Linked DNA regions of Caenorhabditis elegans. The protein of the gene in region 1 purifies or fractionates together with the protein of each later gene. This does not show direct contact. Each region holds a gene or a part of one and is shown on either strand. Other genes may lie near its edges. The genes, in order: T26A5.6, Y17G9B.8 and rac-2.

Evidence for each region.
Region 2: the proteins of T26A5.6 (region 1) and Y17G9B.8 fractionate together in Caenorhabditis elegans (co-fractionation; one large-scale study listed by BioGRID). This does not show direct contact.
Region 3: the proteins of T26A5.6 (region 1) and rac-2 fractionate together in Caenorhabditis elegans (co-fractionation; one large-scale study listed by BioGRID). This does not show direct contact.

Annotation. Positions count from the first base shown.
Region 1 is NC_003281.10:6,446,101-6,456,747, reverse strand, and holds T26A5.6 (UDENN domain-containing protein), read left to right. Parts: upstream 1-6,056; 5' UTR 6,057-6,062; coding exon 6,063-6,119; intron 6,120-6,453; coding exon 6,454-6,651; intron 6,652-6,698; coding exon 6,699-6,936; intron 6,937-7,013; coding exon 7,014-7,169; intron 7,170-7,215; coding exon 7,216-7,538; intron 7,539-7,594; coding exon 7,595-7,941; intron 7,942-7,989; coding exon 7,990-8,123; intron 8,124-8,317; coding exon 8,318-8,418; 3' UTR 8,419-8,736; downstream 8,737-10,647. Other genes in the region: jhdm-1 (JmjC domain-containing histone demethylation protein 1), read right to left, coding at 174-416, 472-548, 594-728, 847-1,096, 1,145-1,721, 1,772-1,903, 1,952-2,265; Histone-lysine N-methyltransferase set-1, read left to right, coding at 4,392-4,555, 4,689-4,927, 4,982-5,169, 5,258-5,395; let-721 (Electron transfer flavoprotein-ubiquinone oxidoreductase, mitochondrial), read left to right, coding at 9,842-10,076, 10,129-10,647.
Region 2 is NC_003282.8:4,754,548-4,765,194, reverse strand, and holds Y17G9B.8 (SGF29 C-terminal domain-containing protein), read left to right. Parts: upstream 1-6,354; 5' UTR 6,355-6,564; intron 6,565-6,613; 5' UTR 6,614-7,077; coding exon 7,078-7,151; intron 7,152-7,197; coding exon 7,198-7,646; intron 7,647-7,693; coding exon 7,694-7,881; 3' UTR 7,882-8,018; downstream 8,019-10,647. Other genes in the region: npp-26 (Nucleoporin GLE1), read right to left, coding at 1-9, 215-447; Y17G9B.2 (uncharacterized protein), read right to left, coding at 708-729, 903-994; cyp-31A3 (CYtochrome P450 family), read right to left, coding at 2,408-2,494, 2,550-3,264, 3,313-3,407, 3,456-3,552, 3,596-3,996, 4,043-4,135; memi-1 (MEiosis-to-MItosis transition associated), read left to right, coding at 4,768-5,247, 5,295-5,480, 5,530-5,721, 5,773-5,955; Y17G9B.11 (PID domain-containing protein), read right to left, coding at 8,253-8,333, 8,384-8,590; fbxb-77 (F-box associated domain-containing protein), read left to right, coding at 9,059-9,150, 9,420-10,135.
Region 3 is NC_003282.8:16,303,553-16,314,199, reverse strand, and holds rac-2 (Ras-related protein rac-2), read right to left. Parts: upstream 5,976-10,647; coding exon 5,871-5,975; intron 5,475-5,870; coding exon 5,383-5,474; intron 4,944-5,382; coding exon 4,758-4,943; intron 4,576-4,757; coding exon 4,371-4,575; downstream 1-4,370. UniProt on the Caenorhabditis elegans protein: During gonad morphogenesis, plays a role in distal tip cell (DTC)-mediated guidance of gonad elongation.

The DNA.
Region 1 (10,647 bases):
AGATAAGTTTTTCTCACTATGCCAATAGCCTGCAAAATAATACGACAGTTTGAGGCCATAGAGACGCATGCAGAACGAGATGAAGAGGGCGATAGAGACGCAGGCGTTTCAACAGTCTTTCACTTCTCACTATCTACTACTTTCAACAATGTTTATCGGTCTTTTTGACTTACCAATTCAGAACGTCTTTTTTTCAAAACAGTTTGGAATGTGTTAATGAGAGACGCTGGCTGGCATATTCCTTCAGCCACTTCGACACGTGCTTTTCGACGAATATAAGTGCCAAGAGTTTCAAGTTCATCCAAAAGTCGAGGGGATATCCTAGAAATCTCATCATCGTTAAAGTAGATTGGCGGCTCGTGTCCAATTGGAAGTTTGTGGTCCGGCACGCATTTATTTCGAACAAAATCGTGCGTCTGAAAAACATGTAAATTTCGAGAGGAAACTTCATTGAATTCGATAAATTCTTACACGGTTCTTGTAGAAAATTAATGAATTTGAATTAGCTAGTTCATCGATTTCAGCATCGCGTCGAGCATCCATTTCTTCTGAAATTCATCAATTTTATTACTGTCGTGTTTAAATCTCCTTACCTTTAGTTTCTTGATACTTGACTTCATCTTCGTCAGCTTCTTCTTCAAGACCCGTGTCAGCTGAAAACGTTGCTTTGCTGACCATAGGATAACCAAATAGTGAATTCTCCGCGTGCATTGCAATCACTTTAACTTCTGAAAATTTCGATTTTAAAATCATATAAAAGAGAGAAAAATATTAAAAAGATCAAAGAAACCATTTTAAATTAGTCATTCATTCTTTTTTGACATTAAAAAATAAAAAATACTCTACCATCTTTTGTGGATTCCTCGTCTCCTTTAATCATATCGTTTGTCAATTCAACTCCAGTTTCGTAATCTGAGTATTCGATTTTCTTATGATGGCCACCAGCGGTTTTCCATTTGTCTCCAACATAGTCATATTTTGCATCTTCGATTCGAAGTGGTCTCACATATTCTCTTCCTGTCCATTGTTTTACATAATCAGCTATAACGTAGAAAATAAGTTCTTCATTGTACGGTAAGCGAAATTTTCTAGTGATCTGAAATGTTTCAAATTTGTTATTTACAAGTCTTCTGTAAAAACTCACATTCAACTTATTTTCAACTTGATAAACTCTTAATTGTGTTTTGCATGATTGTGAGTGAAGAAAATTGCCTCCAAAAACGAGACTATCATCTGGAGTATATACGGCATGAATCCATCCACTTGGAATTAGCATCGTGTCTCCTGGCTCCAAGATAGCCACGTGGCACTTTTCGACCGACTTTCCAAAGAACGCATTATCGTTGACAGTTTTAATAAATTCTTGATAAATAAAAAAGTTGGTTTCGGTTGGTGGAATCAACCAAAAGACTTTACGACCTTTCAGTACATGATACCACACAGATGTTCCACTAAAATCAATGTGAAAATCTGTATAACAGTTCGCTACGCTCATCAGGCAGTAGTTTTGAACTTTTGGAAAAGTATGATGCGGATTGTAGAATTTTTTGTCTCTTCCGTTGAATGAGATCCACCTCTGGCGCAGAGCATCTGGCCACTGGTTTCCAACCCAGTCGATTTGACGAACAAGTTCTGGAGATTTTACGAGATCTTCTAAGGGAGTTTGGGAAAATTCTAGAGATAGAACATTGTACAGTACTTCTCGTTTTTCTTGTGGCGTTCTGGAAAATGAAGTTTGATTGGTGTTTAATACTAATTTGTAATTACTCACTTGTAGAAGTTTATAAATTCCTGTAACGACATTTTCACACTTCCTTGATTCTGGACTTGAACAACTTCTATCATTCGATTTCCGCCTACCAGTTCGAGGACATCATCCACTGAGAAATCTGGTGAGGGAAGTCTGTAAAAATATTTATTTTTACAATTAATTGGAAAAATCAATACTCACGTCATTCCTATTCTTTTTGGATCACATCGGAAATGTATCGGGTTGTCAAGTCCATTTTTGTCGTAGAACTCCAAATTTAAAGCTTCTGGGTCCATTGTATGTACAAATTCGGGATGTTGGAAAGACGGATCATTCATCAGAGCTTCGAAATCAAAATTCACACATCGTTGAAGTGACGACTTATCGAATCCAGTAGTTTCTTCACCTTCTGAAGCACTATGTTCGTGCTCTGAACTTGACTCTTTCCTAGCCTTCTTTGCGCCCTTTTTACCGTTCGCTGGCGTTTTTCCATTTGATTTCCGTTTCGGCGGCATCTAAAATAATATATTTTATTAGAATCATAGGAAAATGGTTAGTTATGATACAAAACTGTCATAAAGTTGGCGTAACTACGGTAAATCAATTAAAGACTTGAACGCAGAGAACGGAGTTTTTCTCAGGACATTTTCAAGCGATTAATTAGATTAACTTTCGAGATTCTAATGGCTTTTAATAAAAGAAAATGTAAATTAAGTACCCAAAAAAAGTTTCGTGAACTGCTTGAATTAAAGGTACATGGAATTTTCGAAGGGTCTCAAACGGAACACAGTGATTTTAAAAAATCGATCGATTTGTCGGTTCTTATTTATTTAATTTTTTGGACTTTTTTCATCTTATTTTTGAAAACTGTTTCTAATTGTTTTGATTGAAGCGTTAATAAGACCGAGTAAGGAATTATCTTTAAATAAATTGACAAATTTTGAACATAATTTTCCGCACTACGATGAAAAAAGTTAAAATTTGATTATTTTTGCTTTTAAATGCTTCTTAAAAGCAATAAGAGAGAAATACACATTCAAAACATTAAAGCAAAAAGCGTGCAAAAATCGAAATAGAAACTATGGGCAAGGAACGGAAAAGGCGCAAGCTGGACCACTGGCGTGTTCGACGCAAGCCGTTTCTCTCTCTGCGACTCTCCTCACCCTCACCCCATAGTGCATTCCTGTTTGTTGTTTGATCGTATAACCAGCCTCCTTTCTTTTCACTCCCTGATTTCACTATTTCTTCCTCTTTTTTACTATTTATTCCATTAAAATACAATTCTGGGTTTTCAAGGTCAATATTTCTTCCTTATTCCTGATAATTCGTATCGATTTCCCCTGACATCCTTTCTGGCCTACAATTATGTGGCGTTGTGACGTAGACCGCTGAATTGACAAAACAGTCGAAAACGAACGGGTGGACGGCACCATTCTTTGTTTGCTGCTCAATCTTACAACGACTAAACTTTTTATCGATTTAGCGTTTTATCGACCGCAGCATAAATAGGAAGGGAATGGAATAGAATATACCGATCGTTTTCTAATTACCCATTCATAATCGATTAGCTGCCAGCATCAATAAACCAGCGGCTGCATCTTCTTATGTCATTCAGATTCTCGACACCGATTCGATGTTCTTTTTTTCAGCATATCTTCTTCGTCGGGCTCTCATGTAGTCGCATTGAAGAATGACAAACTGCATTTTTTATGCGATGACACTCTTGTGCACGATGTTGCCATCGATTTGTTGCTCTGTTTCTCATAGTTGTTTTTTTTCAATTCAGTCAAAATTAATAGATCAATAGGACATCTAAATTTAAAATTCCAGTTGGTATAATATTTAAAATATAAATAGAAACATTAGTCATGCGCATGGCGTCAAAATTTATCTAAATTTTAATCTTTGAGTATCTTTTCTGTTTAATTTTACGAGCCCAATAAGTGTATCTATTATTACGGAAATATACATTTTAAAGTTCAATTCCATAATTTCAATCCACCATTTTTTACACCAACCACCGACATCTACCGTGAGTGCAATAACGCTCCACGGCACTTCCCGCCAAAACCATATGACTGCACACCATTTGAATTTAGTCGCGTGTGCACGACATTGTTCTTTGTGCTCAGCTCTCGTCAAAAACCACTGAATTTGATTTCTAATGAGGTTATTCACGAAATGTGGATAAATATCTTAATGATGATGTTCTACTCGGTCTTTTGATATTTGGAAATTCAACGGAATCGGTGAAAGCCCACCCTTTTCACAATAGAAACCTTCACTTTCTAAAAAAAATATTCCTCCGAAAACCCATTCAATCTGCTTTACGCATCTCTCTGCCCGCTTCAATTTCCTCTGTTACCCTCTTCCCAACTACTTTTTCAGGTACATCCAAGATGGCTTTTCCATTTTCAATTACAGTATTCAGGACCGATGAAATCATATTGAATATCTGGGTTTTTGAAACAACACATTATAATATTTTTACCCAACCATTTCAAAACAAAAAAAATAAATTGTGGGCGAATATTTCTATTATTTCTATGACACCTCTTTTGCTTCTTTATAAATTTCTCTATTTTTACTATTCTCCTCACCCTACAAAATTTATTATTTTTTCAGCGGTGTCACTCGAAGGATGAAAGTTGCCGCGAAGAAGCTGGCAACGAGTAGAATGCGAAAGGATCGTGCCGCAGCAGCGTCACCATCTAGTGATATTGAGAACTCCGAAAATCCATCGTCTTTGGCTTCACACTCTTCATCTTCAGGAAGAATGACACCGTCGAAAAACACAAGGAGCAGGTATGATTGATTAGTGACAAGAGGGATTGTAATAGAACGTTTAAAAACTTCAATATTTCTAATTGAATTCACAACATATTCACAGAAATTGTCCAAGCTGAAAACTTCAATTTCCAAATAGTTTTTCTTTCAGAAAAGGAGTGTCGGTGAAAGATGTCTCAAACCATAAAATCACAGAATTCTTCCAAGTGCGGCGAAGTAATCGGAAGACGAGCAAGCAAATTAGCGATGAAGCTAAACATGCTCTTCGCGATACCGTACTCAAGGGGACTAATGAACGACTTCTTGAAGTGTACAAAGATGTTGTGAAGGGGCGAGGAATTCGAACGAAAGTTAACTTTGAAAAAGGAGACTTTGTTGTCGAATACAGAGGTATGTAGATAACACAGATAATTGTTGTAATATTGTTTTTAAAAAGTATTCTAGGTGTTATGATGGAGTACTCGGAAGCAAAAGTGATAGAAGAACAATATTCGAATGATGAGGAAATCGGATCCTACATGTACTTTTTTGAGCACAACAATAAAAAATGGTGTATCGATGCGACAAAAGAATCTCCATGGAAAGGACGACTCATCAATCATTCCGTGTTAAGGCCGAATCTCAAAACGAAAGTGAGCATTTCAAAATTTGAAATTTATTAAGAAAGTCTTTGATAAATTAAAAAAATGTAAATAACAATTCCAAAACTAAACATTCCAGGTGGTGGAAATCGATGGGTCGCATCACCTGATTCTCGTCGCCAGGCGTCAAATCGCACAAGGAGAAGAGCTTCTCTACGATTATGGAGATCGTTCAGCAGAGACGATTGCCAAGAATCCATGGCTTGTGAACACATAATATGTTGCTCCACAACATCTCTTCGATCTGCTCAATCCATTTCAAATGTTCATTTACCTTCACGAGTATACTACTGTAATTCCCTTCATTTTCTCATATTTTCCACGGCACTCGTGCCCAATCCTCTCATTACTTCGTCTCTTTCAACCGCCTTTTCTCATTCTCACAGCGAATCAAACCTGAAACAAATCTCAATAACGAGCCGTAATAACGTGCTCATTTATGATAATCTGGATCTCGTGAGTATCCAATTCTGTACCTTTCCTGTTGACTTTTGAAAAGTCCCTTGTTCTTTCCTTTCATTGAAACCTGAAAATCTCCTCACTTGTTCCACTACGAAATGCCTTTAATATCTTTAATTCTTCTGTAAATTTCTCGTTGATCGCCCATTTTTTCCTGAATTATTCATTTTTGTGGTGTACATGAGGTGCGAGTTGGAAACCTACTTTAATGACTGGTTAACGCTAAAATCGTTTCCATCCCTATCGGAAAACATTATCAGCGTGCAAATCTCAATTTTTCATTTTGAAAACAATTAAAATCCATAAATTTTGCTACATTAATCTTTTTTTACGAGTATATTCCGTTTTCCGGTATAGCAACCATAAGAATTTATCTGAAGATGGTAAAATTCGGGAAAACATTAGAGCTTACAGTTCAGAGAAAGATGCATCCAATTCTGAATGTGGTCGTCGTTAGTTTCCATCACAAGCGAGGATGTGAGGTAACAAAAATGGCAAACTATCAGAAAAATCAGGAAAATATGATACATAAAAGAATAAACTCGAAAACGTAACGATTAAGGTCATAAATGTGCAGGAAAGTAATAAAATGGCAATATAAACTACAAAATCGCGTATATTTTGCAGTTAATTTGAAATAAATGTTACAGTCAATCGAACATTTCACAAAAAGCAGAACGTTTTTGGTACTTTTTACTATTTTTGCAGTATTTTTCATATACATTTAATTATTAAGTTTTGTATTATATGGAGTGAAGATTTAAATTCAAGTTCATCAACTCAATTTGTAAAAAATCAATAAAATAAATCTTGTAGGTAGAATACTCGCACCCGAAACTCGATGGCACGGGCGAATCGGGATTACCCGATGAATGGCATCTTCTTCCATCACTGGCGTTGCCGGATGGTGTACATAATTGTCAAAAAGATACAATATTCTTTTTGCTTCCATCTAGAGAAGAACCTGGAAAATCGATATTTGGCATCTCGTGTTACAGACAAATCGATGCAAAAGTGAGATTTTATATGACTCTTCAGATAAAAACTGTTTGACTTTGCAGGAATTAATAAATAAATCGGAAGATGTGACTAGGACCAGTGTTCAAAAAGCTGTATGCGTTCTTTCAAGAATACCACTTTTTGGTCCATTAAAAGCAAAATTGGAAGTAATAACTCAGGCATATTTTGAACAAAAAGATTTTTCGAAAGTTGATGTTCTTGCTCAAATGTATACGAATCTTTGCGATATATTCGACGAAAATCTTACTGGAGAATACTTTTCAAATCTAGCTCATCATGGTACGTTATTGAATCAATTTACTAAAATAAAACATGAAAATAGTTTCAAATGTTCACATTTTAATTAGCGATATCAGTTTCAGAAATATCAATTCAAGAGCTTTTTATACGATTCCGTCACCGAGCTCTACTGCTTTTTAAATTATTCCTATTAGAGCGGAAAGTTTTATTCATTGCACCAACTGGATTACGATTAGGAGAAACTATGCTGGCTATTGTTTCAATGTTTCCAAGTAAGAATATACAGACATTTTAAAATCGTTTAATTTTGAATTTCAGAGCTTTTGGAAGAAGGTCTGTTCTACGCAACAATCGGGGTCAATACGAGTTGTCATTTCAAAAATGTAAATTCAAAAACTGAAGGAAAAAGCGAAGAAATAGTGATAGAAGAGGAGGTTGGTGTTCAGCTTTCACATGATGATCCATTGAAAGAAAAGGATTCGTGTGGATTTCCTATAAGCTTATTCACACAAGGATCATCATTTGATCCATATCTATCAATTCAATCAATGGATTTAGTCCCGAAGACTCAGAGTTGTATATTTGGAGCTACGAATGCCTTATTTGCGATGAAAAAGGATTTATTTGATGTTATTGTGAAGGTTTGTATTTTAAATTAACAATTTTCAGGTTTCTAACTAAACTTGAGTAATTTCAGATCGAAGACGACGGTTCTCTTGTCCATAATCACATTGAATTTGTCAACGACACAGCATTGGAACGAGTAGTTTCTCTAACTACTGCAGATCTTCGATTCGCTGATTTTATTCTCAAAAAAGTCGAAGAACAGGTTAAATCCTCAAATGCTGAATTCGATGGATCAGATGAATGGATTCGTTTACAAATGAAAAACTATCTTCTTGGCCTCGTTGCCACGTCACGTTCCGATCTACAAGCAGCGATACCTCATTTTGGAATCGCTTTTGTAAACGAATGGCGGAGAACTAAAAATCACAAAATTTGGGTTGCAAACAAACATGAAGATTTAACATCTGTTGCGCCAGGGTGAGGAATTTCAGAACATGAATACATTTTTCAATCTGAATATTTCAGGCACATGTTCTCGGAACAAATGGGAGTCTATGACGTGTATCTTCGTTTTGAACATGCCGTAAATGGAGTTGAAGGAGCTTCAAAAGTTATTGGAACTGTAAATACTGCCGGAAAGAATTTAGGAAATACCATTGGTAATTTTTTTCGGGTTTGGAAATTAATATAGCATCTAAAAAATTTCGAGAAATGAAGTAGCAGTAAAAAATTGAGGGCATAGCTTTCATTGCTTTGAATTATTCAAAATGTTCAAAATTTACAAAACTGACATTTTGCCAAAACGAAAAAAATATTTTTAATACTAAAGTGATTAACTCGATCGTGTTTTCAGGAGAAACCGGTAGTCGAGTCAAAGCAAAATTCTCAAACTGGTGGAATCGAAAAGCAACCGCACAAGAAGGTGTTGAAGAGGCAGAGGAGCCATCTGAGTGATTTATTAAAGTCAAATATGTATAATGGGCATTTTATCATCTTTTAAAGTTTTTTATTGTAATTAGAATTTCTGTCATATTTCCTTTGTTTTGTTTGTGTTCCATTCAATTTGATCTCTTAATGATCGAATCGTTTTCATCCGGTTTATGTAAGTCTAATCAGTTTGTTTTTCATGTAATCAATATAACTATGCATTTGTTTAAACTCAAAAATTGGTTTAATATACGGGTGAAGATGAACATCCTTTTATATATTACTTTCTTCTAATGATAGAATTGTGATTTATGATCTGTGACCATTAATGTTTTGATTTTAAATACGTAGACAAGTTGAAGAGGCAAACAAATAACGTTTAATATTTAGTTGAAGAGAAAACTTTTTTTTCAAAAACTCGGATAATATTTTTTCCAGTTTTCTTATTCACATTTTAAAAGCACAATTTACAATTGATAATGTTAAAATTCAACAAACTTTTCAAACTTCCCAGGAACCCCCTACAAACTTTGTTTTCCTGTGACGTCACTAAGCTACCTTTGCACTGTAGACGTTCAGATTTGTAGTCTCTCCTCTTTTTGTCCCTCGTGGGAGACACATGTTCGTTGTACTTTGCCCTTTTGTCTACTCCTCTTATCTCTCCTTTCCTCTACACGTACGCAAAGATACACTTTACCCTGATTTTTTGCTTTTCTTTTCCGAAAATCACAACAATTATGTATTTTGTTTTCATTTGAGGAATACGTAGAAGAAAGTTATAAATTTTAGCTAAAATATTTAGAACTACAATTTTGTGACCCCAAAAATAATTCGAAAAATGTATCTTTGATAGTAAATCACCCATTTATTGTGGCTGGCTTGGCTGGTTGTTGACTTGTTTGTTTTGTCTGCAGTTGGTCAATCGATTTGTTTTTTCCCATCGTGTCTAAATATATTTTTAGTTGTTTCTTTTTTCAATTTTATGCGCCCAAAGATACAGTCACCGGTCTCGACGCGACAAAATTTTGCTAAATGAGAAAAGGCGTGCGTCTTTAATGAGTACTGTAGTTTCAAACATAAATAGGTTGCTACATAAATTCTACCGGTTTATCATTGTTTTTTTTCCAGAATTACTAAAATTTAAGTATTTATATCAACGGATATATTTGAGTCTTCTGTAAATAAGCTTATTTATTAATTATTAATTATTATTATTATTTTCGAAAATCTATGAAAAATAGAGTAAAATTCCACAGAAAATTTGAAATTATAGTATTCTTTAAAGACGCACACCTTTTTGTATTTAACAGTAACCAGAATGCATATATTTTGCGAAAAAAGCAAATACATTTTTCATTGAAAATTCACGTAATTTTTTAAAATTAAAATGCAACAATTATTTCTTCAATTATCGATTTCTTTCTCATTTCTCAATTTCTGTGACTTCAGAATGCGGATAAGTGGAGTCACATTATTCCGCGTCTCATCACAACTTCGCAACGTCGTCAACGGACAATGGACGACTACTCACTATACTGTAAAGGATCGATCCACTGATCCACGGTGGAAGGATGTTGATTTGGCACGAGAAAGTGATGTTTATGATGTTGTCATTGTTGGAGGAGGTCCATCTGGTTTATCAGCAGCCATTCGATTGAGACAATTGGCTGAAAAAGCTCAGAAAGGTAAAATCTAAACAAATACATTTTAGAGTAAACATATTTTTTTTAATTTCAGAACTTCGTGTCTGTGTTGTCGAAAAGGCATCTGTTATTGGAGGGCACACTCTCTCAGGAGCTGTAATTGAAACTCGAGCTCTTGATGAACTTATTCCAAATTGGAAAGAGCTGGGAGCTCCAGTTTACCAACAAGTTACCTCTGAATCTATCGCTATTCTCACTGAATCTGGTCGAATTCCAGTTCCAGTGCTACCTGGAGTTCCACTTGCAAATCACGGAAACTATATTGTTCGTCTTGGAAAGGTCGTTCAATGGCTCGGCGAGCAGGCTGAAGCAGCTGGAGTCGAAGTTTGGCCAGAAATCGCTGCATCTGAAGTGCTCTACAATGAAGATGGAAGTGTGAAGGGAATTGCCACAAGTGACGTTGGAATTGGAAAGGATGGAGCACCGAAAGATGGATTTGCTCGTGGTATGGAATTCCACGCGAAATGCACAATTTTCGCTGAAGGATGTAGAGGACATTTGAGCAAGCAAGTTCTCGATAAATTTGATTTGAGAACACATGCAATGACTTATG
Region 2 (10,647 bases), on another chromosome or scaffold:
GCGAGAGTTCTGAAATTTATAGTTCAAAATTCATTTTACACGTATTTTTGAAATCGAGGTGAAAGCGCGCTCCAATGCCAAAAGTTGGGTCTCGTTAGGTATTGGCTGCAAAACCAGAAATGAAACCGGAAAAAATGGATTTTTTTTGACTAAAGCCACCGAACACCTTGATTTCAAAAATTGCACTTTTATGCGTTTTCATAATAAAATTCACCTTCCAGATGTACAAAGAGCAGCGTACTCTTTTTCCCATTCTTCTCGCAAATTATTGGTCTCCTGCTCAGTCGGTTTTCTCGAAAATGGAATTTTCATTTTCTCTGGTTCCACATGAGCTTCACTCATCGATTTCACCAATTCCTCAAACTTCCGATCGTATTTTTTACTGTGCTGTTGCCTCCGAATTTCCATTTCTCGAACGACATCATCGTCAACTTTCACTAGATCCATATCCTTTTGGGTACTATATTTCATCTGTAATTATTATGCCAATTTCAAAATTAAAACGTGGATTCTAGGAAAGTAGATTTGGACTCGACCAGTAACGGGAATTTCAAGGTTGAAGTTTCAAACTTTTTACAGAAAACTCAAATTTATCAAGCAATAAAAATATAAAATCGTTCGAAATTTCAAATTAATTTCAAATCATGGAGATATGATTGGACGGCGTCTGGTGAGCTTCATGTGGATTGGAGAGACCGGGCAAACGATTATTTCCATTTTTGGACGAACCTGAACAAGTTTTATTAAGAATTTAATTTATAAACTTTCAAATATCATTTCATGCACCAACTCAACATCTTTTACACTGAAATTTCTCAACAAATGAGTCATCTAGTGAATGTCTAGCGAATAGTTCCACTTGCAGGTCTGTAAATAATTATATTTGGTCACATTTTACTTACAGATCTCCGATAGTCATTCTTTGAAGAACATAACTAATCGATTTTTGAGGTGATTTGAGCAGTTGGAATGGAATAGACACACCGTTGTCCATGGTCACAAATGGAGAATGAGCAGATGGGAAGATTGGGTGGTCCGATCCAATTGACCCCCCTTCCCCAATTCTCTAATTCTCATCTTAGAGATATTATACATATTTTTCTTTGTCTAAAGCGTGCAGAGACACGCACATGTTCCAAAGGATAATGGAGCGAGAAGGCACTGGTTAGAGATCTTTTCTCTTAAAATAGAAAATTCTTCGAATTGTTCGATTCAACCTTTTTCGTTCTCATTGGTGTTTGATGGCAATATGCTCAAGCGCTGGAGTGTTGTTTGCAAAACATCAACAAGAAAATATCAACGGTTCAAATTTTGAATTTCGAAAAATTCACTTTTCCTGTATGACTTTGGTATTACGGGAACATTAATTTCTGAGAATGCGTACTACGCAATATATTTGACGCGCAAAATATCTCGGAGCGAAAAATACAGTAATTCTATAGATGACTACTGTAGCTCTTTTGTCGATTTACGGGCCTGAATTTCTGAATGAATTAAAACCATTTATGGAATATTAAAATTAAGCAAAACGTGAGAAAATAATACAAAATAACGAAGGAAAATGAGAAATTTGTTATCACTATTCAAAAAGAAACTCATTTCGAAAGTGGGCCCGTAAATCGACACAAGAGCTACAGTGGTCATTAAAAGAATTACTGTAGTTTTCGCTACAAGATATTTTGCGCGCCAAATATGTCGCCCAGTACGCATTCTTAGAATTGTTTGTTCCCATATTACCCACGGCCCGAGAAGTGGTACCTGTACGCAATTTGTCTACCGTATACCTGGACGTTTGGGCGCGTGTATCTCAAAAACGGTTGGTCCAGTTTTTTTGTGATGCATATAAAAAATGTCCGAAACTAAATTCTAAATTTTTTGGACCAAAGCTTTTTTCGTTATCACGCGCCCAAACCTGGTCTACACTCAAATTATCAGTAGAGCGCATTTGCATGGATGTACCACTTGCCGGGCCGTGTTACCCATTTAAATAAATCCACGTGCCTTTAAAGCGGCATGTCAAAATCTAGTGAAACTGTGTACGTTGCGGGACCATAGAGAAAATTTTTTGCTGCGCCTTTAAAAATACCGTATCAAAATTTGTCACATTTGTCAATATGAGCTGTTCCATGAGAATCAATATTACTAGCTATAACTTCATTCAAAAATCAATAAATTCAGACTTTTTGCAATGAGAAAAATTTAGTTTTGATATATTTGCAGTACGTATTCACAGAATTTAGTGTAGAGCCTATAGAGCTTAAAAAATCAAATCGTTTTTGTTCCAGGAATAGTTCACTCCCCGAAATAAGAATTTGTTCATCACATTTGCAAGGTAAAGTATGAAAATTAAAATTTATCATGCATTAAAAATATATAATCATCAAGAATAAAATTGGCTATTTTGAAATTATGGAGAGACGATTGGACGGCGTCTGGTAAGCTTCATGTGAATTGGAGTGACTGGGCGAACGATAATCTCCATTTTCGGACGAACCTGAACAATTTTCAGTTAGAATTTAATTTATCAATTTTAATTTTCAATGTTTCACCTCATGCATCAACTCGACAGCTTTTACATTGAAATTTCTCAACAAATGAGCCATGATGACCTTCTCCTCCATGAGTGCAAAACGTTGGCCAATGCAGTTACGACTTCCAGCTGAGAATGGAATGAAGGCGAAAGACTTGCGAGCAATTGAATTTTCAGGAAGGAAACGATCCGGATCGAATACATCAGGATCCTTCCATTGCGAAGGATCACGATGAACAAGGTACAGGTTGAGCAGAAAAGTGACTCCTTTTGGAATATTAACACCTCCAATCACTTGATCATCACTCAATTCTCTTGTAATAATTGGAACAGATGGGAACAATCGGAGAGCTTCTTTTAGTGCACATTCGAGATATTTCATTCTGGAGAGATGTTCAATAGTCACGTCCTCATCATCGCCCATCACTTCATCCAATTCCGCTTGAACTTTTCTCTGAACTTCAGGATGATTTCCCAGAAGATGTATTGCCCACATTAGTCCTGTAGATGTTGTATCGTGGCCTTCAAACATGAATGTGTCAACTTCTGCCTGAACATCTGTTTCGTCCATTTGTCCACTTTTCACCATTTCGAGAAGAAGATCTAAAAATGCGAGACGACCTTCCATCTTATAATCATTCTCCTGTAGCGCTTCTTTTCTCTCGACAATTACTTTCTTCGTGAAATCATGTAGAATACGAAGACATTTTTCATGCGTTCGTCCGTCTTCTGTTCTGAAAAATAAAATTGAATTGACCTTTTTAATGATAAAACTATCGTACAAATTGTAAATAAACGAATTCCACATTAACGGATTATTTGTTCGCTTTGAGATCAGCTTGTTGATTGTGTGCACCGCCCATACATACTCGTTATTCTGAAAAAAAAACGTTTAGAAATGTTGCGATTGAAGAATTTCTCGAACCTCCGCGAGTTGAGCACCGATAGCTTTGCCCATGGAAGTTTCACAAATGATATCAAGAGTGCACAAGGTTATAACGGAGAGAACATCAACTTCTTCCCTGAAAATGAATATTTGAAAGCGTTATAAATTGAAATTCTCACTCTGCTCCGAGGGAACACATTTTCTGAACCAAAATCTTTGATTGCTCGTTGAAAATCGGCAAAAAATCCTTCAGAATATCATAATGGAAGGTGGGTGTCAAGAGTTTTCGCTTTGGACGCCATTGTTCCTTCTGGCTTGTCAAAATACTGATTCCAAGCCATGGCTCAAGCAAAACGTATGCGAAACCTTTGTTCAGATGTTTCGTCGACGAGAAAATTGGTTCCACGAGATCGGCGGAGTAGAGCATCAGGCAAGGGAACGGACCAATCCACAAAAGACACATACGTGGATCTGGATATAAATATCCCATTCCAATTACTTGGTTCATGAATCCCTCTGGATCTGGCTTGGTGACCAGTCCGTGACCGACGATTGGATATGAACGTGGTTGATTGAGATGCTGAAAATTTATTTAAATTATCTTCAAATGAATTTTGAAATCAAACCTTCAAAGCTTGACGCATTCTCAAGTGTTTGTAGAGAAGCCAAGCGATTATCGTCGCCGAAGCGAGAAGTACAGCGGGGATGATAACCCCCATTGCAAAACCTTCTGAAATAATTTATTTGAGCGAAAAAAACGAGCAAAAAGCGTTGAAAACTTGAGGAAAATTGTTTGTTAAGCTTTGGTTTTGAAAATCGCAAAAAAAAAAGTTTTTGAACGAACATTCAAATTTCAGACAAGTCGTGGTGAGACCCATGTGAAAATCGTCATGCGTCTTTAAAGAGTACGGTAGTCTTGAGAAAGTTCTCGAACGAATTTTTGTCGTTTTCTGATATTTCAATCTTGATTTAAATAATTATTAAAAACTTTTAATTACCATTATTTTTTCAACAAAAAAATGAAGAAAACAAAAAAACAAATCCAAAACTATTTTTCAATGAATATTGTACTTTTTATGAATGCTTCGTCTATTTGACCTATTTGACGTATTTGATCCCCCCGTCGAAAAACCAGCGCAACTATTTCATATAGGCTCAACGAATTTTTGATCGTGAATCTTCTTCTTCTTTGCTGACACTCACAAAAACTGATGAAGTTTTTTAAAAAATGGTTTTATCGATAAATTATTATTAATCTGCCAATCACTTCAGTACATTTACTTTTTTTTTAGTTTTCTCTTTCATTTTTGCTTCAAATTTTTTATAAAATTTTAAATCAACGTTTTTCAGAATGTCAGCTCCATCTCGCACCGTCCTTCGCGATTTGACGGCGACCAGATACGTCGCCAACTACGCCGAAGAAGATCGCTTGGAAACCGCTCGAGCCGGTTGCTCTTCCCTCCCACCACAACCCAACATCAATCATGATGTAATTATCGAAGGGCACGGAGAAGATGTGGAGCTCGTCGAAGATGAGAACTACTGTTCCGTTCATCGTATCGATGAGACTCCAAAGCTCGTCGACAAGAAACCGAGCAAGACAATCATCCGCGATGAAGCTGTCAAAGTGCTCCGGCACATTCAGACTGTGCCGATTGAAAATCTTCGTCTTAAGCGCTACGACTATTTCTCGCAAAGATGGTTCCACACGACCAGAGAATCGGAGAAAGCGCTTGTCGAGCACGTGTTTCTTCATCCCAACCAACGACCACATTATTTTGCCGCTCAGTGCCGGAAGCTGTCGGTCGAGGATATCTCTAGTTTGATTCTGGTTAGTTTCTTGGCCATATTTTTGATAAAGCATAAATCTCATTTCAGACTTCTCTCCTGACCGAACCGAAGGAAACGGGACAAAATGTGGCTCGATTTGCTATCCAGACAACCAATGAAATGTCGTTCCAAACGTTATTTGCATTGCTCGAACAACTAGAGAAGGAAAACGAAAGGTTCCAAATGACAGATAGCTTTGTGGTTGCAACCCTGATCCGATCACAGACGAAGAGAGTAAGTAAATCGGTTTTATATTACACACAAATAACTTTTCATGTTTCAGACTATCACTCGTCTCCTGAGAACCACACACTGCCGGGAATACGGAAATCTCGAGCCAGGACTCGATTCACAAGGCCGGCTGATGACTTCGACTGCATCAATCACGTGTTCAATTCGAGGAAAGCGCCACGTGGAAACGAGGATCGTGTACAAGAACAACTCGAGCACCAGGGATCCTTTCCGAAGAAATAGAGTGAGTTGTATAGCAATAATTCTATCGATTTCCAATTTATAACATTTTCAGTACATCGAATTGGAGCAAACGGTGAAGTGCATGAACCGGCGAGTGCTGATTGTCGAAGAGCCAGTCGAAATCCACGAATTCGAGGTCGAAAAGGATATGATCTCGCTGGAAAACGGAATTGCGCCAGTCGACGACCTGATCTCGTTTCTCGAAACATTCGAACTGGATGAAGAGGACGAGTAACTCCATATATGTCCTATAATTAGTAGTAATGTGCATAAGTCTGTATTATTGTATATGTATTTAAATAACCGAGTGGTTCCTGTTGAATATTCCAACTAACTTCCCCTATTTTATTTTCCTTTTTTGTTTTAGTTGTTTTATGTATATAGATTCTCCAATGCCCAAATTGTGACAACCCACGACTATTTTGTTTATATTCGACATGTATATTGCCCGCATTTATTTTGATTTTTTTTCAAAGATGAATTTGTTTGAGGTATAATTTTACAATGCATTACTGCTCTGATTGATTGATTAGAATATGAATTTCAACTATTCCCGGCTTTTCACTGGTAAATTACTCCATATACGTTATTTTCCCACCGCAACAACCTGGCCTTTTCATTGCCTCATTCACAGCATACGACTTGTAATGTCTGCACTCTCCCCGTCTCATCACGTAATCAGGTCTCTCTCGATTCTTCCCGTTTAAATATATATCTGCTCTATTGCACCTCTTCATTTCCTTGTTCAGGAAAATAGCATAATTTCAAAATGCCTCGGAAGAAGAACGATGTGCAAATCACCGAGGAAATGAAGAAGAAAACCGCCGAAGAGGTTATCAAAAAGGTGAGTTTTATTTATTTATTTATTCCTAGTTTTGAAATTAATTTTCCAGCTGCCAACAGTGAAATCGAAGCAAGACGCTATCAACGAGAATCTGCAAAAACTTCAAGAATTCCGAGATAATGAGCCGAACCCCTATGGAAAGGGTAAAGTGGGTTTTTTTAAACAATTTTTATAACTAATTTTTGCGAAATCCAATCATTAAAAATTCAATATAAATACAGTAGTCTGTTTAAAGGGGCACGTGGTTGTACGGCTGGGTCTCGCCACGATTTTAAAGTTTTCTTGCAAATATCAATTAAAATCTTAACAAAAGAAATCAATGAAGACCAAGTTTTAGATAAATTTTTAAAATTTGAAGTAAAGTTTTGAATAGTTTCAACAAAATTTTCGGGGCAATTGCCTCGAAAATCTGTTCAAATTTGCAATCTGTACAAATTCGGCGATTTCTGCATGCTGTGCACAAATTCGGTTGAAATCTGGGTATATTCTGAACGGGTTTACTGAGAAGTTTCCATGGTTTTCGATGGAATTTCACATTTTGTCACCAGCACTCATCGATCTGTGGAATCACAACAATCATTCATTAGGTTCGTTTTCATCTTTAATCTCTCAAAATTAAAATAAATATTACAGAAATCTTTTGGACGAAGTAAAACGTGTTGCTGAAATGGATTATCGCTCCCAAATGGCCGGAGACATCAGTCGGAGAGATTTAATGGAACTGATCAAGGTTCGCGGCGACCTTCTTCCATTATGGACCAGCCATGACACACAATTTCCTGGAGAATATGTTGGAGCTATTGCACCACAGGATGGCTCGAAACTAGGCGACGGAGATTCAGTGGCGGCATTCAGTAAAGACGGAAACTGGATTCTTGCTGATATTGTCACATGTCACTCTAACTCGCGATATGAGTGTCGAGACGTTGATGATGACAAGAAGAAGTTGACAGTTTTCGCGAGAAGCCATTTGTTACCCCTCCCAAAATGGAAAGCGAATCCTGCATCAGACAAGCATGCACTTTTCGAGAAAAATGCGATTGTGTTGGCGTTGTATCCACAAACCACTTGCTTCTACAAAGGTACCAATTTTCACAAAAGTTTCAAAAATAAAATAATTATTTTCCAGGAATAGTTCACTCCCCGCCAGCAGATTTTCGAGAACCATATCAAGTAGCGTTCGAAGACGACAGCTATGCATCAGGATTCTGCCCTCCAATGCCGGTTGCTCAGAAATACGTGGTTGCCTTCCGAGAAGTTGCAGGGCTCACTGCATCAACTGCTCCAAAAAAGGGAAATGGCCACAAAAAGAAATGAGGCCATAATCCAATTAATTGACAGTATTTATTGTATGTAACTCCTAAAAATCCCGGAATTCCTTCTCATAAATCTCACAATGTTTTTTATTTGTCCATAAAAGTTGTTCTTATCAAAAATAAAACGTGTTATTATTGGCGGCAACATTATTCGAAAATTATACAAGAGAAATAATTCAGAGAGTGCAGAAAAAATTAGAAAGTGATCCAATGCGTGGTCTTGATTATTAAAAATTAACGTGATTTTAAAACCAGAAAAACATTTTGATTAATATATCTGCACGATCTACAATGATAAATAGTACATAGCCGTCATCCCATCATTCCTTCTCACATCATAACCACCTTTGACAGGATACTCGTCACATCCCGTCAATCCCAACGGCAAAAGAACAAAAAATTCTCTATCCACAGTCTCCTCAGCATCGAAAGCGCACTAGAGATAGCTATCTGCTAGATATTCTATACCTTCAAAGAGTGATTCGAGAAGATCTTCGTCTCACCTGAATGCAGTAAAATCGAAATTCGCAGATTCCAGTTTCCTGTCGACTCCGTGAATCCAGTGTTTCAAAAATATATTGACATCTTTGATTCTTAGATAAGCGACGAATGCGGAAGCATTTGTCACTATTTAGTACATCATTAAGATCATATTTCAATGATTGGTGTAGTACAACTATGTCCATGTTACGTGTTAAAACCATTTGCATTTGTTTAGATGCTTCTATTGAGAACGGGTTTTTGCTGCTTGTACAAATTGAATCAGTTTTACCGGAAAACTGTTTCAACACATGTTCATATAGCAAACTGTTAAAGCCAAACACTGTGCCTAGCTGCAAATCCTCAAACTCCAATCCTTCGAATTCATCACAAATCGTACTTTCGAATTGTGCAGTATCAAATGATAACTTATCAATTCTCTTTTGATGAAATATTTCCATAAGATGATTGTCCGTTCGTCCGTGAGAGTGAAGTGTTTGAGAAGATTCTTTTTGTCAGAATAAGAAGACGTTAGAATATGTTAATGGGTCCTGGGAACATGGGAGTGGTTACGGACGAAGGAAATCTTTGTCTCTGCAGCAGATGTATAATAACAAGTAAGTAGAGAGTTAGAGAAATAAGAGGTCACTGAACATTACCACTCAATCCTCCCATCTGCTCATTCTTTATTTGTGACCATGGATGACTATGTGCCTATTCCCTTCACATTGCTCAAATTACCTCAAAAATCGATTGATGTCGTGCTGCGCAGAATGTGCATAGAAGCATTGTGAGTACATAGATCATCATTAAATTTTTTCTGTAGTTTGCTGAAGAGCGTAATTCGAAAAATTGCTTGAGTGATTCGAGAAGTTTTAATGAAATGTATAGTTACTTTGAAACTTTTATTACTCAACAAGCCGGTGTCTTTCGAGCCTACCTCTCGACTTCCTCCGACTAGTAAAATTAAAATTCAAACATCCCGTTCTCAAATAGCCTTGATCCAGGGATATGGTTCACTAATCGCATTTCCTTGTCAATATGAAATATTCATTACAGAGTTGAATTATCATTCACATCTAAAGCTGCAATGCAACAAACTAAACACCTTGGTATAAAAACCGAACGTTTTATCATCGCAATTAATTCAAATGAAATATTGATTGACGTTTCCGGTTGTAGAGATTTCCGATTCTACACTTTCGAATGTTCAACCCCCAGCCACCATACTGTACAGAAGCCCATAAGAGTGCATGTTGGTTTCAGAGGGGAAAGATGGGAAACCCCATTTTTTGGAGTGAGACAATTTTTGAATCATCTTATGGAAATATTTCATCAAACAAAACTTGATAGCTTACATATTAGTACAGCTGACCCTGAATGTTCTAATGAACTCAAAGGAATGGAGTTTGGGTGGTTGTCCATGATGTCCATGACATCGGACAACAATAGTTCACAAGATGAAGATGCATTGAGACAGTTTTCCGGCAAAACTGATTCAATTTGTTTAAATAGAAACCCATTCTCAATAGAACCATCTAAACAAATGCAAATGATTTTAACACGAAACATGAACGTAGTATCAACGAAATGTGATCTTAATGATGTGTTTGTTACAAATGCCCGTTCATTCACCGCTTTTCTGAAAATCGAAGATGTCAATATATTTCTGAAGCACTGGATGCACAGATCCGACAGAAAACTGAAATCTGCATGGTTCGATTTAGATGCATTCAGGTGGGACGTTGAAGATGTTCTCGAACCACTTTTTAAAGGTATAGCATATCACGTTGCCCCAGCAGATAGAGAATTTATTGTTCATTTGCCGAAAAAGTTATCGGGATGTGGTGATTATCGTGTCATAGGTGGTTATGATGTGAGAAGGAATGATGGGATGACGGCAACTATTATTGTTGCAGATCGTGCAAATGTATTTCTTAAAATGTTTTTTTGGATTTAAAACCACTTTTATTTCTAATAATCGAGACCATAGATGCATCCCATTTATGCATTGCATGGAGATTGATTGATTCATCTACCACCATTTCAAATTGTTTTATTTTTCTGCACCCTCTGAATTAATTCTCTTGTATAATTTTCGAATAACGTTGCCGCCAATAATAAAATGTTCTATTTTTGAAACTGAATAAGAGCTTTATTTTTGAAAATAACAAATTTTATGAACAAATAGAAGACATTGTGAGATTTATGAGAAGGAATTCCTGGATTTTTAGGAGTTACATACAATAAATACTGTCAATTAATTGGATTATGACCTCATTTCTTC
Region 3 (10,647 bases), on another chromosome or scaffold:
AATTGGACAGGATGACCTACGTTTTTGCAATAAAAACACGTACCTTGGAATTCTCCAGATTCCGATTGTTGTTGACGATTTTCAACACCGATCGCCAGCGCTCTGGGATCTTTAAACGATTTTCTGAGCATATCTGCTTTGATCAGCTCGACGGTTCGTGCAAATTCGAATGCTTTCTCTGTTGTTTCCGGGAGGTTCAATCGGACTGTTTCTTGTAATTGAAGATTGAGACCATTGAGAAATGTATCCAGTGTTATTCTTTTAACATTTTCTACTGACTCTTCTGTAGACGCTGCGCTCGCGAGCTTTAAAAGTCTGGTATAAAAGTCGTCGACCGACTCACCTTCTTCCTGCTTACACTGCTTCAATTGAGTTTCTTTAAAACCCAACACAACTGGATTTAAGAGTTTTTCAGCGAGCATTTTCCACAGCTCGTCCAGCTTAATATCCGGGTTTATTTTGATAAAATCACCGGCAATATTTCTTGCTGTGCCAGCCAAAAACGTTAGCAAACAACTGACTTTCTGTTGTTCAGTTAGGACTTCAGTCGAAGCTCCCAAATGATCCATGAATGACTGTCGAAATGAGACGAAATCTTCGCTCATTGTTCCACTAAATGCGTTGATTTTTACATCGGATTTTATTCCGAGAATAGCCATGACTCTAGGTAATCTAGACACATTTTTGATTGAATTAATCATTCCGTTTCCGGAATCAAATAACATTTTACCACGTGTATCGAAATCAAGAGATTCCGAGATTGAATAAGAATAGGATAGCCCCTGAGCAGCTTCCGGAATCAGACCTGGGTGCGATGACCTGCCTTCATCCACTGTCAGAGGATTACATACCTTCAAAATTTCCTCCTTCGTTTCGCTTTCCACCCTCCGCAACTCGATCTGTTCACGGGCTCGGGTGGAGACTGCTTGGCTTGTCGCTGCAGACTTCGCTTTCAGATTTTCCGCAGGGTCAGGCGCGAGAAGTTGAGACGATGTTTGAAGAGTTCCCGCTGGTGGAGGCTCTTCCTTGTCAGCCATGACGATTGCGCTTTGAACACGATTGTTCTCTCTGTAAAACTTTGATTGAATGGCTTTTTCAGGGTGGGAGGGAGGGTAATTAAAAGCTTTTTAATCATCACGATGTGATAAAATCCTGATCTTCGAGGAGATTTCTCTGCCTCCATTGTTAGGCTCCAATGTGCGTACACCATATCCAGTTTATTAAGGAAAACTGCCCGAAAACCACTGAACGCACACCCTATCCATCAGCCAAACAATGTCCCGAGAATAATGTCGAGGTCTGCTTAAATCTTCTTTTCTTCCACGATTGAATGGCCTCTCTCGTTTTCGTAACCACAAACCAAAACTGCGCCAAAAGGCCAGGTAATCGATCACGCGTTAATCGATATACGAAGAATAGAGAGGGAGAAAAATTACACGAAAGCGAGAGGAAAGGTGAGCGCAAACAAAAATCTAATAAACGATACTAAAAAGCAAGAGGTGGATCGTAATTATCACTGAAACGATTGGCCGATCAATTTCAATGACACTCGCTGCTACCAGTAAAAGGTTTTAACTCTCATTGTGCTTTATTCTATGCTGGTCGGTGAATTGCATAACACGAACGAGATATGTGCTAATTAATAGGTTTATTAAGATAAAATGAGTGGCTCAGGGAACAATGTCCTGCCAAACAAGTACAGAGAAAGAGGGAGAGAGAGAGATAAGGAGACAAAACAAGTCAAAACGAGGAAAAGACCTAGAATGAGGGAATTGTCGTCTTATATAGCAGGTTGCGGTGGAAGGGCGGGACGAGACAAGAATGTTCCGGAAGGAAATGCAAAATGTGGCGCGCGCTGCCGAGAGAGTTCGGTGGAGCGCGCCTGCACGGGTTACGGTAATTATCATTACAAGTCTGGTTCGACGTCGGAGGGTAGCGGCACTTGTGCGACTGGTTGGAACGAGCTGTAGAAGGCGAATCTTGTAAGTCCTGAGACGATGCGTTCCAATACAGACTGCTGACTCTCCGAGTAGTCCTGAAATACACGTATAAGCTGTGTGGGAAAGATGTAGTGAGGGGCAGATCCTTACATTATTCAATGCAAAGCATACGAGAAATACGTCTGTTTGTGGAAATTTTTTGTGGAAATGTTGGCGGAATCTGGAAAGAATGGGAAATTTTAAGTAGGCTGTAAGATTTGATATGAAAATGTTCCCTCTCATTTAATATAGACATTATTTTTGTCATTGTTAAATTTGTTAAATTGTTAAATAAGAGTTTGCTCGAAAGTTGCTAGTAAAAATAGTGAAAATTAGAAAAAAATGTTGTTGAGGAAAAGTTCCGAGCAATTTTTACTGTAAAAAAATTGTACTTTCTCTAAAAATGAGTAGATTTCACTAGAATGAATTGAAAATTAGTGTTCAACTATTCGAGTAAAATTTGAAATATTTTACCATTTTCACCTGTTTTCCAGAAAATTTAATAATCATAAGTTTTTATCAAAAAAGGTACAAATTAAGCCTAGGCCAATTCCAATTTTTATTGAAAATTGCTCTGAAATAGGCGATAACTTTGAAAAAATGTTATCAAATAATTTGAGAAAATATTTATGAAATCTGGCTCATTTTTCGAGAAATTTTTCAGATTTTTCCGCTCGTACTGATCGTAATCTTCCTGTCCAGCTGTGTCCCATAGGCTGAGATTTATTGGCCGTCCGTCGACCATCACATTTGTTGAGTAGGTGTCGAACACCTGCAGAAATATTGAACATTATTTGAATTTATAGTCAAATTTCAGACCGCTTTTAATTTTCTCTGCTCAAAATCAGGCAAAGTATTTTCGGTAAAAATTACCCACTTTTTATTCTAAATTTTTACCCATTTCTACGTTTATGGACAAATGTTGCTTTTTTTGAGAAACAAGTTCAACTTTTTATGTTTTCTTAAATAAAAATGACGATTTTTTTCTGATTTTTGCACGCCATTTTTCTCAAATTGCCCAACAAAAAGTGGCTCACCGTTAGAATATATTCTCCGGGAAAAGCGTTTGTAGTGTACGATAGCAGGAGACACGTCTTACCGACGGCTCCGTCACCAACGACGACACATTTGATTGCTTGCATCTGGAGCTCCGCGAGCAAAAAAACTGAAAATTGGTTCAAGAACAGGAAAAATTTTAATCATGATATTGAAAAATATAGGAGATAACCTTCGGGGGGAAACCTAATGGGGTTATTCAAGTAGTGTCGGAAAATTAAAAAAGTGTAGGAATATTAGGTCACTTTATGTACATGTTTTTTATGTATTTTAATACACAAAGTGACGTAATATTCCTACACCTTTTAATTTTCCGACACTACTTGAATAACCCCATAACTTGTTCCCTCGAAAAACTAAAAAATGAGAAGCAAAACTGGATATAGTAAGAATATTTCATCTTGTCGTGTTTATTAAAGGGATGAAGCAATTACAGAATAGAAGAGTAAATGGGGACAAACAACAGACACGTGGTAAGTATAAGGAAGAAAAGTATAACGAAACAGGAGTATAAGGAAAATATAAGGAATGACCTTGAATGCGCGTTTCATTTAGTTTTATAGGTGAATTGGGCCGGGCCGAAGAACGATCGAGAACTACTGATGAATCCTATGAGGGAGGTAGGGATTCCATGCAGGCGGGATAACGTCTGCCACGCGCGCTTTGCGGTGACCCCCGAGCGGAACCCGAAAAGCGTCGGCCGCAGCTAAAACCACATTTCGCACTGAGTTGTCTGTACACCACGCCTTTGACTTTTCGTCATAGTGCAGAAATTAGGATGACCATCAAATTAAACTATGGCTTCCATGTGAGAGCCGCATGGCGGAGGCGCCTTTGCCGGCCTCACGCCGGCCCGCCGTCGCCTTCGCCCCTCGTCGATGTATGTGCGCAACGAAGTGGTAGTTATATGGAAGCGGCCGACACGTTCGAGGTTTCGCGCCGCACTATACATACGGATACTTGCGGCGTTAGTGGCGACATGAGGCCGGTGGAGGCGCCTGACCGGCGCCCACATGGAAGCCCTAAAAGAATTCACAATCAAAGCTCAAATTACGAGTTCTCGCCAAAAACATGGTGAAACTCCGATTTTAGCTTTGAACACACACGTGGTTCGTTTTTTGGTCTGTTATAGGTGGGTACTAATCATGTGGTAATAACTTTGTGATGATCAGTCCTCAAGGCAAGGGATTATCCTCTCCTTCAATTTTTTTTCCGACCTGAAAATATGAAATTCCAACGACGAAAAGCTTCAGAAGCTTTTATGTATTGAAAATTAGTATGGTAGTTGAAATTGTTGTAGTTTCTGTAATTTGAGTTCTCCAATTTCCTCGCATTTTAAAGCACCGTGCAATTGCTCTTTTTGGCTCTCGTTTGTGGTGTTTGTGGCGGGGTGAGCCCAGTACGAATTGCCTCATCGAAAACTTGTTTCAATCCAATTTGGGTAAGCGCCGAGCATTCCAGGTACTTGACCGCCTTGATTTCCTTTGCCATCACGTAACCCTGGGTGTGGCTCACTGGTTGGAGCCGACGTTCACGGAGCCTGCAAAAATTTTATTTTTCAAGAGTTTTTGGGGGTATTACATTGGAGTTGCTGTCTTTTTTGGCCGAAAAGGTAAAAACATGGGGAGATATGCAAAAGTTTCACACCCAATTTCTTGCCATATCTCTCTCAAACATGATAAAAAAGTTGTTTCGATGCTAAAATGAATCCCAAAAAATTACCGTTCAATAGTATCTCGATCCTCGCGTAAATCAGCTTTAGTTCCAACCAAAATAATCGGTGTATTTGGGCAATGATGTGATACTTCTGGATACCATTTTGCACGAACATTCTCAAAACTTGCTGGATTATTCAGTGCAAAGCATACGAGGAATACGTCTGTTTGTGGAAATGACAGGTGGCGGAATCTGAAGAAAAATGGGGAAATTTAAGTGGGCTGTAAATTTACATTCACATGTAAATACAATAAACATTCATTAGATAGATTAGATATAGTTTAAGATTTTTTTCATTCCCTACGAAATTTGATATGAAATGTTACTTTTTGATAGACATTCTTTTTGTCATTATAAAATAGAATCCGCTTGAAAATTGCTAGAAAAATTGTAAAAAGTAGAAAAAAAAGTTGTGGAGGAAATATTTTTAGCAATTTTCACAATAACAAAATTGTACTTTTAGCAGACAATAGGTCGGTTAAAAATTTTAGAAGTTTCAGAATGTTTCGCTCTAAAATAGAAAATTGCTCTAAAATAGGCGAAAACTTTGAAAAAATTTACTATCAACTATTTTGAGAAAATGAAATTTGGCTCATTTTTTGACGCATTTTTCAGATTTTTCCGCACGTACTGATCGTAATCGTCCTGTCCAGCTGTGTCCCATAGGCTGAGATTTATTGGCCTTCCGTCGACCATCACATTTGTTGAGTAGGTGTCGAATACCTGCATAAATATTGGGCTTAATTCGAGATTATAAGGAAAAAGCCCAATTTCAGACCGTTCTCCAATTTTATCTGGTTAAAATCAGGCAAAAAAAGGTAAGAACTTTTCATATTTTCATCATGTAAATTAGCACTTTAATCGTGTTTTCGGTCAAAATTTTCCACTTTCAGAGGGTTCATTCAAAAAATGTTTTCATTTTTACGTTTACGGACAGAAGTTGCCTTTTTTTGAAAAACGAATTCAACTTTTCATGGTTTTTTAAATAAAAAAGTATAGATAGATTTTTTTTCAAATTTTTTTTCAAATTTTTGCGCTAAAAAATAAGATTTTTTGAAAAAAAAATTTTCAAGTGCCAACCCGAATTTTTCTCAAGTGCCCCGACAAAAAGTGGCTCACCGTTAGAATATATTCTCCGGGAAAAGCGTTTGTAGTGTACGATAGCAGGAGACACGTCTTACCGACGGCTCCGTCACCAACGACGACACATTTGATTGCTTGCATCTGGAGCTCCGCGAGCAAAAAAACTGAAAATTGGTTCAAGAACAGGACAAATTTTAATCATGATATTGAAAAACATTGGAGAAAACCTGATAGGAGGGGGAAATCTAACTAACGTTTTCCCTCGGAAAACTTTAAAAAATAAGAAGCAAAACTGGATCTAGTGAGATTATTTCATCTTGTCATGTTGATCAGAGGAATTAAGTAATTACAGAATAGATGAGTAACAGACACGTGGTAAGTATAAGGAAGACAAAAATAACGAAATAAGAGTATAGGGAAAATATAAGGAATGACCTTGAATGCGCGTTTCATTTAGTTTTATAGGTGAATTGGGCCGGGCCGAAGAACGATCGAGAACTACTGATGAATCCTATGAGGAAGGTAGGGATTCCATGCAGGCGGGATAACGTCTGCCACGCGCGCTTTGCGGTGACCCCCGAGCGGAACCCGAAAAGCGTCGGCCGCAGCTAAAACCACATTTCGCACTGAGTTGTCTGTACACCACGCCTTTGACTTTTCGTCATAGTGCAGAAATTAGGATGACAATTGAGTTCCAACCGCTGCGACACTGAAAAGTTGTCAATAGGGCTGTTAAACAGGACGTCCTCATCGTCCTCCCAATTTTTATACCAAAGTCCTCGGACTTAACACATTAATTTTGATAACGAAAATAGATTATTTGGGTTAATATTATCTGGATTCGAGTTTGAGGCTGAATTTTCCTGTTAAACGGACGCCAAAATAAGCCATCAAAAAATGACAAGGACGACCTAGGACGTCCTAAATAACAGCCCTAGTTGTGAAAATTTGAGATTTCAGCAAAATATAGCCGATTTTTCCAAAATTTTTGAGTGATCATAACTGTTTTTTTTAGCAATCTAATTACGAAAATTTGTAGTATTGTGCCATTTTTAAATTTTCCTCATTTAAATTTTTTTTTTAACGTGTGGAGTTTTTGTATCTTTAGGCTCAGGAAATAACCATTTCTAAGCCTAAAGAGGGGTAATGGACATCACGTTTTATTAAAATGGATACATTTCAAAAAAAGGGAATAGGGCTTCCATGTGAGAGCGGCGCGGCGGAGGCGCCGTCGCCCTTCGCCGGTGTGTGTGCGCAACGAAGTGCGAAAGGTAGTTATTTGGAAGCGGCCGATACCTTCCGAGTTCCGCAGCTCGGCGTGTGTAGCTTGGCGAGTGAGCAACGTAGTGCGAAACACAAGTACCCATTTCGGTACTCCACCTTTACTTGTCATTGGTCAAGAATGTTACAGAAACAAAATTTTCGCTCTTGCCGTAAATAACATTCACCTGTCAGTAACTTTATTTCACACTAATTCCTAATCTATAATATAAATTTGGCAGTACATTGCTTTAAAAGAAGTACCAATGAACGACACTATTGTAAAAATTACTGAAACAATATATTATTCTTTCAAGATATTTTTTATTGCTTCGGTGATTGTTTTTTCGGCATTATTCCCAGTTTATGTGTACGTGTTCAAAATGAATCGAAAACTCGATAAAGCGGTATTCAACACGTGCATTGCATTAAACATAACTTTCTCATTCAGATGATACTGTTTCCAGCTGTTAATCATCTTTATCAAATGTCCAGAAACGTCTATTTCCTATACCTAGCGTTCCTGTTTTTCTTGTGCTTTAGTTGTCTTAATATGTGAGATAAAAAATTCTTGATCCAGAACAATAACTTTTTTTAAAAGAAATTCTCCTAACTACTTTAACATCTCCTATTTAACACTTCCTATTGTAATATATGTGCTCTACATAATAACACAGGTTTTCTCCCTGTTGACGTTTCTCCTGTCTCTCCAACGATTTATATTATATTTCAAGCCCTCAAGTGAACAGTATTTAACCAAAATACCATTTTCAAAGAGATTTATCTTTTTTTAAATTTAATTGTGGCTATCCTTTGAAAACAAAATAAATGTATTAGTAATAACTACAAACTGAATATCACCTGCTTAAATGTTACGACGTTAGAAAACGGTGCTTTGAATCAATGCAAAAACAATGTTTAAAGTAGTATTTATTCAAAACATTCGGTTTGGTGCTACAATTGTATTCATCGAGTGTAAACTGATCCCCGAAACATTTTCGCTAGACTGTCTCAGTTTAAAAAACTTCCCGAAACCTCCCAGGATAAATTCTCGGTAAGGTTTCTGTACAATGAGCATAACAATTGTTGATATGAAACCATGTGTTGCAACTATAATATACATAGTATTATTCAATGCCGCATTGAAAAATGGTGTATATGAGAAATAGGCCATTGGAATGGAGATAATGGAAAAGGGAATTGCCAATTGCAAAAACATCGCCTTCATCAGCTTTTTTTGTAGTTCCAAGGTTTGTTTCGAACGGACTTTGCCATATTTTTTAAGAGCACGGTAGATTTGAAAAAAGAGTGCCAAGCAGGTAACATAAAGTAGTATTGCTTCTCCTACAGTCCCCATCAGATATTGCAATTTGTTTTCCACGGCAAGGTAGAGAGGGAGAGCGCGAACTTCATCTGATAGGCAGGGTAGGGCTGGCCAAGTGTCGTCAATAAACAAAAATTTTCATTTATTTCTGTAGTCGAAAAATGAATCTCACACGTGATTCAAAAAATTAGAAAGTCATTTCTTGACACTTCGTGGTGTCGCTTTTCGACACTGAATACGTGGATAAAAATGAATGAAAATTATAATTGTTAATCAAAGTATTTTATTAAATTTTTCAACTGCCACATCATTGTTTTCTGTGCTCATTTGAAAAAACGTGAACTGGGAAATAAAATCAAAAATAAAAACAATAAATCAACGTTTCGAGTGTCTAAACTCGACGGTGTCGGTTTTCGACACGTCAAATATTGACAAAAACAAAAGTGTCGAAGAGTGACCCCCGTCACGTGAATATTTTTTAAGTTGTCGTATTTTTTGACATTTGGCCAGCCCTAAGGCAGGGAAGAGACTGAAAATTGATAATTTAATTTCTATGATTAACAAGGCTATTATCTGGAACCACCTCTATGATAAAATCTTTTTTGTACTCTATTCCTGGTGGCATTGTAGCATAAACTGGATAGAAGGTGGCAATAGCAGTAAAATAGTAAAATGCAAAGAATGGCGAACGTGCATATTCCCATTTTGTTGGATTGATTAACAAAATGGAAAGTCGGTTTTCTAGTACAACAATGACTGCGCATCCGTCGCTGAAAACTCCATTGATAATTTATTTAAAGGTGGAGTATAGAAATTGGAGATTTTTCATAACTGCTCAAAAGTTTGGAGAAAAAATGATCGAATTTTAGTTGCAATCTCAAAATTTTGTAACTTGGCAGTGGCAATACGCGAAAATACGTTTTTATTGTATTGTCATACTTTAATACGAATATGATCTAATTTTGTGCACTCATCGACAAAAATTTACCTAAATCAATGACAAAACCAAAGTACCGTAATATGTATCAAAAAGTGCTTATTAAATAAAAATCAAGTTTCTACCGCTGCGCCACTGAAAAGTTGTCGAAGCTTGAGATTTTACCTAAAGAAGGTCATTTTTTTTCCAAAACTTCAGGTCATAACTTTTTTGAGAAATTTTCAGAACGTCTCGTTACGAAATTTGGTAGTTGTGGCCCACACAGCGCATTTTTTACTACAAAAGCTGGAACAGAGTATTTGATTGTGATTTTTTTCTTCAGTTTTTTCAATGAGACTTGTCTGAATTTTCACTGAAACATTCGAACAAACTCAAAAATTAATTTAAACTGTTTGAAATGTTCATAAATCTTCTCTAAATTTTTTTTTTCAAAAATTTTGAAAATTCAATAAAAATCAAAATTTTTTTCCAAAATCAGATTTTTTCGCGTTTTTTGTCTGAACTTTCACTAATTGTAACTAATTTGCTTTTTTTCACTGATGATTTCTCAATTTTTAAGTCTGTTCGGATGTTTTAGTGAAAATTCAGACAGAAAACACGACAAAATCTGATTTTGGAAAAAATTTAGATTTTCATTGATTTTACAAGATTTTTGAAAGAAAAATTTTAGAGAAGATTTATGAACATTTCAAACAGTTTAAATTAATTTTTGAGTTTGTTCGGATGTTTCAGTGAAAATTCAGACAAGTCTCATTGAAAAAACTGAAGAAAAATCACAATCAAATACTCTGTTCCAGCTTTTGTAGTAAAAGATGCGCTGTGGCCCATTTTTGGTCTTAAAAAACAAAGTCTCTAATTTCGCTACTCTACATGTAACTAGATTTGAATTATTTTTCTCGAACTAACTAAAAACCGCCGCCACTGTTATCCAAATGTACTCTGCAACTTCTATATCAAGAATGCCTATTCGATATACACCCACTAACGGAACCAAGTAGCCAAGTGTGCAGAAATAGGAGAGCATTAAATCAAAAACAAAGGAGGTTAACTGCAAGTTGAATAGGCTCCACCTCATGGAACTCATTACTTTAGGAGTTTGAAACAAAATACAGTAACATCCAAATAAGTTGACTGGAATTGAAATGAATCCAAAAAGATGAAGAGTTGATATGAAAAAACTCGGAGAGTCGAAATAAGTATTTTGATAGGTAGCTGAGCAGTAAGTATTCATTTCCAGTTTTGGTGATACAAAATGCGGAATTATTCCCTGATTTGTTTTCGGCGCTGTTGTA